Oryctolagus cuniculus: one gene and its partner. The protein of the gene in region 1 purifies or fractionates together with the protein of each later gene. This does not show direct contact. Links are inferred from orthologs where the notes say so. Each region holds a gene or a part of one and is shown in the gene's direction. Other genes may lie near its edges.

The links. Proteins that work in one complex are often made in the same cells at the same time.
Region 2: the proteins of BACC1 (region 1) and SMARCA1 purify together in Homo sapiens (affinity purification with mass spectrometry; 4 studies listed by BioGRID and IntAct, with this or other methods). This does not show direct contact. The link is inferred for Oryctolagus cuniculus from reciprocal best matches to the Homo sapiens genes BACC1 and SMARCA1.

The regions. Positions count from the first base shown.
Region 1 is NC_091448.1:51,718,933-51,724,171, forward strand, and holds BACC1 (chromatin complexes subunit BAP18), read left to right. Parts: upstream 1-2,082; 5' UTR 2,083-2,306; coding exon 2,307-2,327; intron 2,328-2,511; coding exon 2,512-2,606; intron 2,607-3,087; coding exon 3,088-3,189; intron 3,190-3,754; coding exon 3,755-3,945; exon of another isoform or gene 3,946-4,064; intron 4,065-4,156; coding exon 4,157-4,261; intron 4,262-4,413; coding exon 4,414-4,478; 3' UTR 4,479-4,676; downstream 4,677-5,239. Other genes in the region: RNASEK (ribonuclease kappa), read left to right, coding at 572-649, 1,265-1,341, 1,605-1,746. UniProt on the Homo sapiens protein: Component of chromatin complexes such as the MLL1/MLL and NURF complexes.
Region 2 is NC_091453.1:107,193,710-107,198,396, reverse strand, and holds part of SMARCA1 (probable global transcription activator SNF2L1), read left to right. Parts: intron 1-2,864; coding exon 2,865-2,974; intron 2,975-4,687.

The DNA.
Region 1 (5,239 bases):
AAGGGGGGAGGTGAGCAGAGCTGGGAATGGCCTCTCTCGAAGGGAATCCCTGTCTCACTTACCACTTCCCCTGCACAGATATCACCCGAAACTTAAGTGTCTGAGGGGAAAACTAGATGACTCCAACCCTCGGGTCACAACAGCCCGAATTCCCGAGCTCTGCCACCGTCAGTCTCTCTCCCGAAGCCTGGCTGCGGCTACTTCCTCGTCACGTGACGGCCAAAGTTGGTCACGTGGCGTGGCGGCGCCTACCATTCCAGCCTGGGGAGGGGGAGCCAAGACACGAGACTCCTGCTCTTGCAATATTTCCGAGCTACACGGGTCACGAAGGGACTCTGGAAAGGCTACTCAAGTTTCAGAGGCCTCCTTCTCGCGCCGAATTCCCTAGAGGACCCCGAGCGTCCACCGCCTGCCGCCCCCAGGAGGGTGGTTGAGGCCGGAGGCCACGCCCCCTAGGCCGTCCTCTGCCGCGGGAGCCCCGGAGCGCAGCTCGCTGGCCGCCGGCGCATCCAGGGCTTCTTACCGCCCCTCTGTTCGGCTTGCTCCTGGGCGATCTCCCGTTCCCGTCTCCATGGCGTCGCTCCTGTGCTGTGGGCCGAAGCTGGCCGCCTGCGGCATCGTCCTCAGCGCCTGGGGAGTGATCATGTTGGTGAGGGGGCTGCCCAGCGTGAATCGGTGGCGAGCCTGCGGGGCCGAAGGCTAGGCAACTCCGGGCCTGGGCCAGCAGCAGGCAGGATGGCGGGGCTGGTGCGAAACGAGACCGAACTGAGGCTGCAGAAGAGGGAACTGGAGCCTAGCGGGTGGTGGGACTGGAGCCTAGAATGGGAGCTGGGGTTGGGGTCCTGAGAGATGCTTGGGTCGAACGGAGGGTACAGGGCATAAGGGGTGCTCGTTCCCGAAGAGGGTAGCGGGCTCCACCCGCCCCCACTTCCAGAAGAAATGATTTGAAGAAGTGGCGGTCCTCCCTCACGTCTTCCGCCCTGTCCCGTGAGGGTGACGCTTCTGGGGAGGAGGACAATGTGGGTTCCTGGGAAAGCGCTTGTCCCATCACCCGTCTCGGCATCGCCACCGCACGCCCTGTTCCAGGCGGCTGAGTCCGAAGCCGGCAGCAGCCGCCCCTAATCCTGGTTCATTCTGGTCCATCCCAGGCCCAGGTGTTGTGGCAATATTAGAAATAGAAGGGGTTTAGGGGGTAACCAGGAAGTCAGGTGCCTGAGTCCTACAATCTACCCATTCCTTTTTTTTTTTTTTTTTTTTTTTTAAGATAATGCTCGGAATATTTTTCAATGTCCATTCTGCAGTGCTAATCGAGGACGTTCCCTTCACGGAGAAAGACTTTGAGTAAGTAGTCGGGTGGGGAGGTGGGCAGGTGGCTAAAGTCTGACTTAAGGGCGGGATGCTTGGGGGCGCTGGAGGAAGCAGCTGGCCAGCCGTGTAGGGGTCAGGCCTCAGCGGCCATCGTACGCCCAGCTCAGTCCCCCTCTGCAAAGCGGGCACTGTGGCACTCGCCCCGTAGGACTGACAGCGAGGCGCACAGGAACTGCGCCGTTGAGTGTTGGCTGCTATTAACGCTCGCCGTTTCTCTGCCTAATCCGCGCCTCCAGGAACGGCCCCCAGAACATATACAAGCTTTATGAGCAAGTCAGCTACAACTGCTTCATCGCCGCGGGCCTCTACCTCCTCCTGGGAGGCTTCTCTTTCTGCCAAGTCCGGCTCAATAAGCGCAAGGAATACATGGTGCGCTAGAGCAGGGTCCCTGCTGCCCTCGCCAGCCCCGTCCTCTATTTATAAGACTCTCCCCGGCCCAGGTCACTGGCGCGCTCTGCGGGACTGGGTGCCCCCCACCTCGGCCAGTCTTGAACCCCTGTCCGCCGGCCTCTGGCAGCCCCAGCGGAGGGAGCCTGGGTTGGCCGCCCCCTGGCTCCCCAGCCCTCCCAGCCTCGTCCCGTACCACAATAAAGAGAAGCTGCTCTCTTAAAACTTGTGTCTGTGCTTGCGTGAGGGGGCGGGCCGGAGGTCAGACTCAGACCGGGAACCCCGACCCCCGGGCGGAAATGGAATGGGGCTGACCGGAAGTGAGGCGACGCCTTCCACCACTCCTTCCCTCGGCGCGCCCGGGCGGCCCCAGTGACTGCGGTCGGTGAGGCGGGAACGGCAGGGCTTGGGCCAATCAGCGGCGGGGAGGGCGGGACTTCCTGCACGGAGCCCGGAGCGGCGCGGCAGCCAGGCTCCTTCCGTGGTCCCGGCTCGCGTGGCGGCGGCGGCGGCGGCGGCGGCAGCGTCTCCCTGAGGAGGTGCGCGGGGCCATGACGTCAGCGTCCACAAAGGTTCGACCTCCCTCGCGGACAGCGCTCCCTGGCGGCCACGGGCGGGCGGGTCCCCCGCTTGGCTCCCGGCTCTTCCGCCGCGGGCGGGGGGCGGGCGGGAGCCGAGCCGGGGTGGGGCTAGGGGCTCCGGGCGGGCCGGCGCGGGGGTGTGCGCCGGCCCCCTGTCATGCTGCCCCGCCCCCAGGTCGGGGAGATCTTCTCTGCGGCGGGCGCCGCCTTCACGAAGCTCGGGGAGCTGACGATGCAACTGCATCCCGTGGCCGACTCTTCTCCCGCGGGGTACGTGAGCCCGGGCTGGGACGTGGACGCTGAGGGCGGACGCTCGGACTCCACGCGGACGCGGACCCTCTCTAGCGCAGGGACAGCGGTTAGTTTCCCTGTGGCTGGCACAGCCGGAGCAGGTGTTAATAAGTGATCGTCGAGTGAGTGAGTGACAGATGCAGACAGGCCCCGCCCCGCACTACTTCCCCGTCGTACCCCCGCCACGACCACCCACTCCCGTTCCTCGGGCTGCTGCAGACTGCTAGGGTGCAGGTTGCGAGGCTTTCACGTTGATGGGAGAGAGAGGTGGTCCGAGGTGTCCCGATTTCCCGCAGCCGGGGGGTCCTCCAAGCTTTTCTTCTCCTTACAGAGGGCCTCTCTATGGATCCGTGACCGGGGCCCCAGAGACCGGGAGGCGGCGACTGGCCGGCTGTGGCCCCGCCAGCCGGCTCGCTCCACGCCTCTCCCCATTCTGCTGACCCCTCTCCCCTCCCGACAGAGCCAAGTGGACGGACACCGAGATAGAGATGCTGAGGGCTGCTGTGAAACGATTTGGGGACGATCTTAATCACATCAGCTGTGTCATCAAGGAACGGACCGTGTGAGGGAGGGAGGCGGGCAGAGAACGGGGGGCGGGCCCTTTTCCTCCCCTCACCCTTCCTTCCACCCTCATCACAAGTCCCTTGCAGCTCCGTGTCCTCCCTTGAGGACTGCAAACACACAAGGATGGTCACGTTGGTCAGACATCCCAAAAATGCCCTGGCAATGAGGGCCTTCCAAGAATCTGATTTCAGGTTGTCTGAGAGACACGATCACTGCATTTGACCCACAAGGTTCCCTGGGTAATCCGACAGATCTCTTGAGATTCTCCCACAGTGTTTCCAGGAATATTGCGGTTCTGAATATTGCTTGGGATCTATGAATAAGTCTCCATCTTACCTGGTGGCCCTCTGCAGCCACACCTCTCTCCCAGGAGAGACTCAGGAGGGGTGGGCCTTTCCCCGTACTCAATTCAGGGAGCCCACTCCTCACATCCATCCGCCCGGTGTGAGGGCAAAGCTGCAGGAAAAAGAACCCCACCAAAAATTCTTGCGAAGAGGCTCCCTCCTCCCCCACCCTCCCCACTTGGTGATCACTCCTTCCCTAACCGGCTGTCTTCTCTTCAGGGCTCAGATAAAGGCCACTGTGAAACGCAAGGTGTATGAAGACTCTGGCGTTGCGCTTCCAGCTGAGTCACCCAAGAAAGGGCCCAAGAAGGTGGCCTCTGGGGTCCTGTCGCCTCCCCCGGCTGCCCCCCCGCCCAGCAGCTGCAGCGTCCCTGACGCCGGGGCCCCCCCTGTAAAGAAACAGAAGTCCGGTGAGGGCGGTGGAGTCGCTGCCTCGGCGCGAGAGGTCCCATCTGAGGCTCAGTGAGAGAACTGGGCCTTGGGCGAAGCAAGACAGCTCTTCCGCTCCCTCTGGCTTCCTCTCCCCTGGGTGGGCAGAGGGGGAGGGGGTGGGGCGGATGGGGTGAGCACAGAACTCGGGGTGGTCGGGAACCTAGAGCCTAGCTTGTGCCCCCCTCGCAGACGTGACGCTCAGTGCTCTGAACGACTCGGACGCCAATAGCGACCTGGTGGATATTGAAGGGCTGGGAGAAACTCCTCCGGCCAAGAAACTCAACTTCCACCAGGGTAGGAGTCCCCCTCCTCCCACACCAGCTGGGGGCGGGGTAGGATCTCAGCAGGAGCCCTTCCCTGTGCACTCTGCCGGCCGGGCCGGGACACTGTCTCAGAGGCCTACTTGGGGCCCGCTCCATCTCGGTCTGTTCTCCTTCCTGTTCCAGACAGCCTGACCCTGGGTTCTGGCCGCCTAAAGACCTGCGCTGAAGCTCCTTTGCTCTCCTGCTGACCTCCCACCTCCGAGCCCTCTCACCGTTCGCCTGGACCTGTGGATCGCCTGGGACTCTGAGCGAGGCCTGCCCGAGAGAGGCGCAGAGGCTGCTGGGGCTGGCCGCCTGGCTGGTCCTGGACGAGCATCCGCCCCAAGCCCTTTGACCTCTGTCTGATGGACATTTTTATACAGAAAACAATAAAGATTTGTCTCTCAGCTTGGTGCTGTCGGGCTCACGTTATTAACAGGAGAGGGCCATTCCCTCTCCTGGCCTCGGCCCTCAGGGGCCCAGCCCCTCCCAGTAGCTCTCGCCACCCCGCCTGGAGCAGCACAGCCAATATTGGCAGACTCGCCTCCCGGTGCCAATATTTCTGTGCTGCTAGAGCCAGGGGAGCTGGGTGTAGGCAACAAAGACTCCACTTTGCTCTCTGGAGCCAGGACGTAGTCCCAGGGCCTCTGGCAGGCAGAAGTCCTGAAACTTCCCTGGGGATTTTAAAGGGCCTGTTTGCAGCGCATTCATCACTGCCCCCCCCCACACACACACACCCCACCACCACCACCACGTCATGAGAAGTTTATCACAAGGCCCCAGATGTTTTTTGAGTCACTTCTCCAGGGTGGCCTCCCAGGGCCAAGCCTCGGCGGTGCCTCCCCCACCCTCGCTCTAACACCACAGTGTGGTTTGGACGTGGCCACAGTGCCGTACAAACCACAGTGTGCTGCTGGGGCGGGAGCAGGATTCGGGTGGGTTGAGAGGAAGAAGACACAAGGCAGCGCTG
Region 2 (4,687 bases), on another chromosome or scaffold:
AGTGTAAAGTACTGTTTGAATACTAGTTATAGCATTAATTGCTATCCATTCTTTAACCCATTGACCACTGACTTCAGTATATTCTATACAACTGAGACGTACTTCCTATGGTCTTTTTTTAAAGCTTTTATTTAATGAATGCATTTTTCATAGGTACAGCTTCAGGAATATAGTGGTTCTTTCCCCCACACCCACCCTCCCACCCTGACTCCCATCCAACTTCCTTCTCCCTCTCCCATCCCCTTCTTCATTATGGTTCATTTTTAGTTTAACTTTATATACAGAGGACCAACTCTATGCTAAGTACAGATTTCAACAGTTTGCACACACACACACACATACAACATATAAAGTACAGTTTGAGAACAAGTTTTGCAGTTAATTCTCATAGTACAACTCATTAAGGACAGGGGTCCTACATGGGGAGTAATTGCACAGTGACTTCTGTTGTTCATTTAACAATTAACACTCTTATTTATGACATCAGTTATCACCTGAGGCTCTTGCCGTGATCATAAGGTCTTCAATGATTTTCTAGTTGATGAACTAAGGATATATTTTGATAAGTATCTTGACTTCTCTGTACCATTTCATACCACTAACTATGCCTACTTCTGTAAGCTCTTTGCTACTTGGTTTCCAGTAGACAATTTTCTCCTACCTCTTTGGCCACTCCCCTTAGTCCCCTATATGGACTTTTCTTTGTCCCTTAAAGTTTAGCACTTTAGGGGATAGGTGTTTGGCATAGTATCTCCAAGGCAGTTTACACTTTTAAGGTTCTCTCTCTTAAACAAGTTTGAGAGTTGCAAACCTAAAGTCTTCTTTTTTTTGAAATTTTTAAAGATTTATTTATTTATTTGAAAATCAGAGTTACACAGACAGAGAAGAGGCAGAGAGAGAAAGAGAGGTCTTCTATCCGAGGGTTCATTCCCCAATTGGCCGCAATGGCCAGGGCTGTGCTGATCTGAAGCCAGGAGCTTCTTGCTGGTCTCCCACATGGGTGCAGGGACCCAAGGACTTGGGCCATCTTCTACTGCTTTCCCAGGTCATAGCAGAGAGCTGGATCGAAGTGGAGCAGCCTGAACTTGAACCGGCGCCCATATGGGATGCCGGTGCTTCAGGCCAGGGTGTTAACCCGCTACACCACAGCGCCGGCTCTGCTAATGTTTTCTTTTACTGTTCTACATTCCGTACCTTCCATAGATCTCTAATAATAATAGCCATAATTTATTGAATGTCTATGGTGGGTACGATCTATACATTTACTACCATAAATTTTCATGGGAGCCCTAGAAATAGCATCATTATCAGCATTTGGAAACACGTGGCATATATGCATACCATAAATTAATTTTTCTTTTTCTTTTTTTCTTTTTAACTTTTATTTAATGAATATAAATTTCCAAAGTACAGCTTATGGATTACAATGGCTCCCCCCCCCCCCATAACATCCCTCCCACCCGCAACCCTCCCCTTTCCCACTCCCTCTCCCCTTCCATTCACATCAAGATTCATTTTCAATTCTCTTTATATGCAGAAGATCAGTTTAGCATACATTAAGTAAAGATTTCAACAGTTTTCTCCCACACAGAAACATAAAGTGAGAAATACTGTTTGAGTACTAGTTATAGCATTAAATCTCAATGTACAGCACACTAAGGACAGAAATCCTACATGAGGAGTAAGTGCACAGTGACTCCTGTTGTTGACTTAACAAATTGACACTCTTGTTTATGGCATCAGTAATCAACCTAGGCTCTTGTCATGAGCTGCCAAGGCTATGGAAGCCCCCTGAGTTCACCGACTCTGATCATACATAAATTAATTTTTCTATAAGTGAATGAAGAAACAGGCTTGGAAAAATTAAACAACTTGCCTAGGTTCACGAGGACTAATCAGAATCTGCCAGATCTACATTTGAGTTCAGTTTCTTAAAGTGGCTTTTGTGAGTTTACTAAAATTGAAATCCTCACATGTCATACTCAAAGACTTATTGTAATCATTAAATATTACTGTGAAGTTCATAGTTCAGTGTCTGGCACATTATAGTAGACACTCTATAAGTTGTAGCACTGTGGTTATGGTAGAATCTGTCTTCCAGGTATGCACTGATTATTTTATATTATCTTTTTTTCTGGATTCACCCATATCTTCCTTAATGTTGAACCATTTTCTTTTCATTCATATGTTAAACTATATTGAAATGACCTGTGATTTTATTTCATTTTTATAGTGCCTTAGATGAATGCTCTGACTTCAGATTTTTTCTTAGGTTTAAAAGGCAAAAGATAATTTATTTAAAAGGCAGAGTTGGAGAGAGAGAGAGAGAGAGAGAGAGGGATTTTCTATCCAGTAGTTCACTTCCCACATGTCTGTGTAGAACACAGTCTGGGTCTCCTATGTGAGTGACAACGGCCCAAGTACCTGTGCCATGTCCTGCCCGTTTCCCAGGTGCATTAACAGGAATGCTGTATTAGAAGCAGAGTAGCTGAAACGTGCACTAGCACTCTGACATGGGATGCCAGTGTCACTAGCATGACTCAGCCTGTTGTGCAACAGTGCTGATACCTATGGAAGTTTTTTTAAAGGGTCCTTTACTGCTTGCTTAATAGTCAATAATCTTGTTTTCTTAATTTATTGTATTTTGTGCCATCAAATCATGAGTATCTAATTTAGGTAGCTTCTTCTGATTTTCTAATGGGCCAGTACTTTCTGAATCTTTAGCAAGAAACTTGGCAACTGGTATTGGTAGTGTTCATCATATTATGTGGTATGAAGTAAATTTCATATTGGGGTGGTATTAATGAAATACATGCTTTACAGTGTTAAATGTTTTATATTTTTATAAAATTATCACTTTTTAGGTTTTGAAACCATTTTTGTTACGTCGTATAAAAACTGATGTAGAGAAGAGTTTGCCTCCAAAAAAGGAAATAAAAATTTACTTGGGACTGAGTAAGATGCAACGAGAATGGTGAGCTATTTTATTTCCATTAAAATTTATTTGTGTATAAGAATTTACTAAATGCTGGCTTTGTAGTGTTCACATAGTCTTTTAGTTCAAAAATACATTTTATGTTTAAATGGCAAGTTAAGTGGTTGAAATATTTTTAAAGATTTATTTATTTGAAAGGCAGAGTTATAAAGAGAGGGTGGAGGGGGAAGAGAGAGAGGTCTTCCACCCACTGGTTCACTCCCCAAATGGCTGTAATGGCTGGAGCTGGACCAGGCAGAAGCCAGGAGCCTGGAGCTTCTTCCAGGTCTCCCATATGGGCGCAGAGGCCCAAGCACTTGGGCCATACTCTGGTGCTTTTCCAGGCACATTAGCAGAAAGCTGGATAGGAAGTGGAGCAGCCGGGAGGCAAACCGGTGCCCATATGGAATGCCAGTGCTGCAGGTGGTGACTTAACCCGCTGTGCCACAATGCCAGCTCCAAATGAATTATTTTAAGGGAAAATTGATGTTTTATTTAACCTCTGGGAAAGGGTAGGTTTTAGAGTCTGTAGATTTGTCTTTGAATCCCACACATTGCCATTTTTTTGTTGTTTTAAAGATGTTATTATTTATTTGAAAAGCAGAGTTACAGAGAAATACCTTCCGTACCCTGGTTCACTCCCCAAATGGCTGCAAAAGTCAGGGCTGGGCCAGATGAAAGCCAGAAGCCTGGAACTCCATCTGGGTCTCCCATGTTTGTGGCAAGGGTCCAGGTACTTGGGCCGTCTTTTCCAGATGCATCAGCAGGGAGCTGGATTGGAAGTGGAGCAGCCAGGACTATGAACCAGTGCTCATATGGGATGCCAGTGTCGTAGGCAGCAGCTTAACCCACTGTGCCATAACCCTGCTCTCCATGCATTGCCTCTTAATAGCTATTTAGCATGAGCAAATTATATCACCTGTTTCCTTTTTGTAAAATGGGGGTAATATTACTTAGCTGAAGAGGAAGATGTTAGGATTAAAGGAGACAATGTCACTGGCATATTTGTTATTATTCTTGCTTTTTCCATCAGTGAAAATAGTGATAACCATGATGATGATAATGAAAACATTGTGAGTATGGATATTAACAAAATATAGCAGCTGAAATGGTCTGACAAATAGAAACAAAGCAGGAAACTTACAAGGGGAATCACAAAGAATGATGTAAATAGATCATGTTATTGATGTAATAATACTGCTAAAAGATGGAAAGTGTTGCTTATATAAATAGAATTAGATCATATATAAAGTATATATGATTTCTCAAGTATACAAGCCAATATAAGGTAGAGAGTAAGATATAAGATCAATTCCTTGCCTTGTTTGTTGCTTTGGCTCTGAATTTTTCACCTTGTCTTAGCTATCTGAATTTCCGTCTGTACTAAGGATATGATACTAATACATATTGGAGTTGTGAAGATTTAATGGGATGATCCTCGAAGCCCTTGTACACACTAACTATTATAATTAAATATCATTATTGGTCAGATGAATGCACAGCTCTCTTTGGGTAAAGGTCTAGAAAAGAATTAAAATGTTTGCAGGATCTGACAAAAGATGGCCTGTGAAGAAGGGTTTATGCAAAAATTAAGACTGCTTTTAACTCAAAAGTTGGATACCAACACTCAGCAAACATAGTTATTGGATAATGATCAGATTAAATTTTCTAAGCAATTATGAGCCGATGGTCATCTCTTATAATGGATAAAGC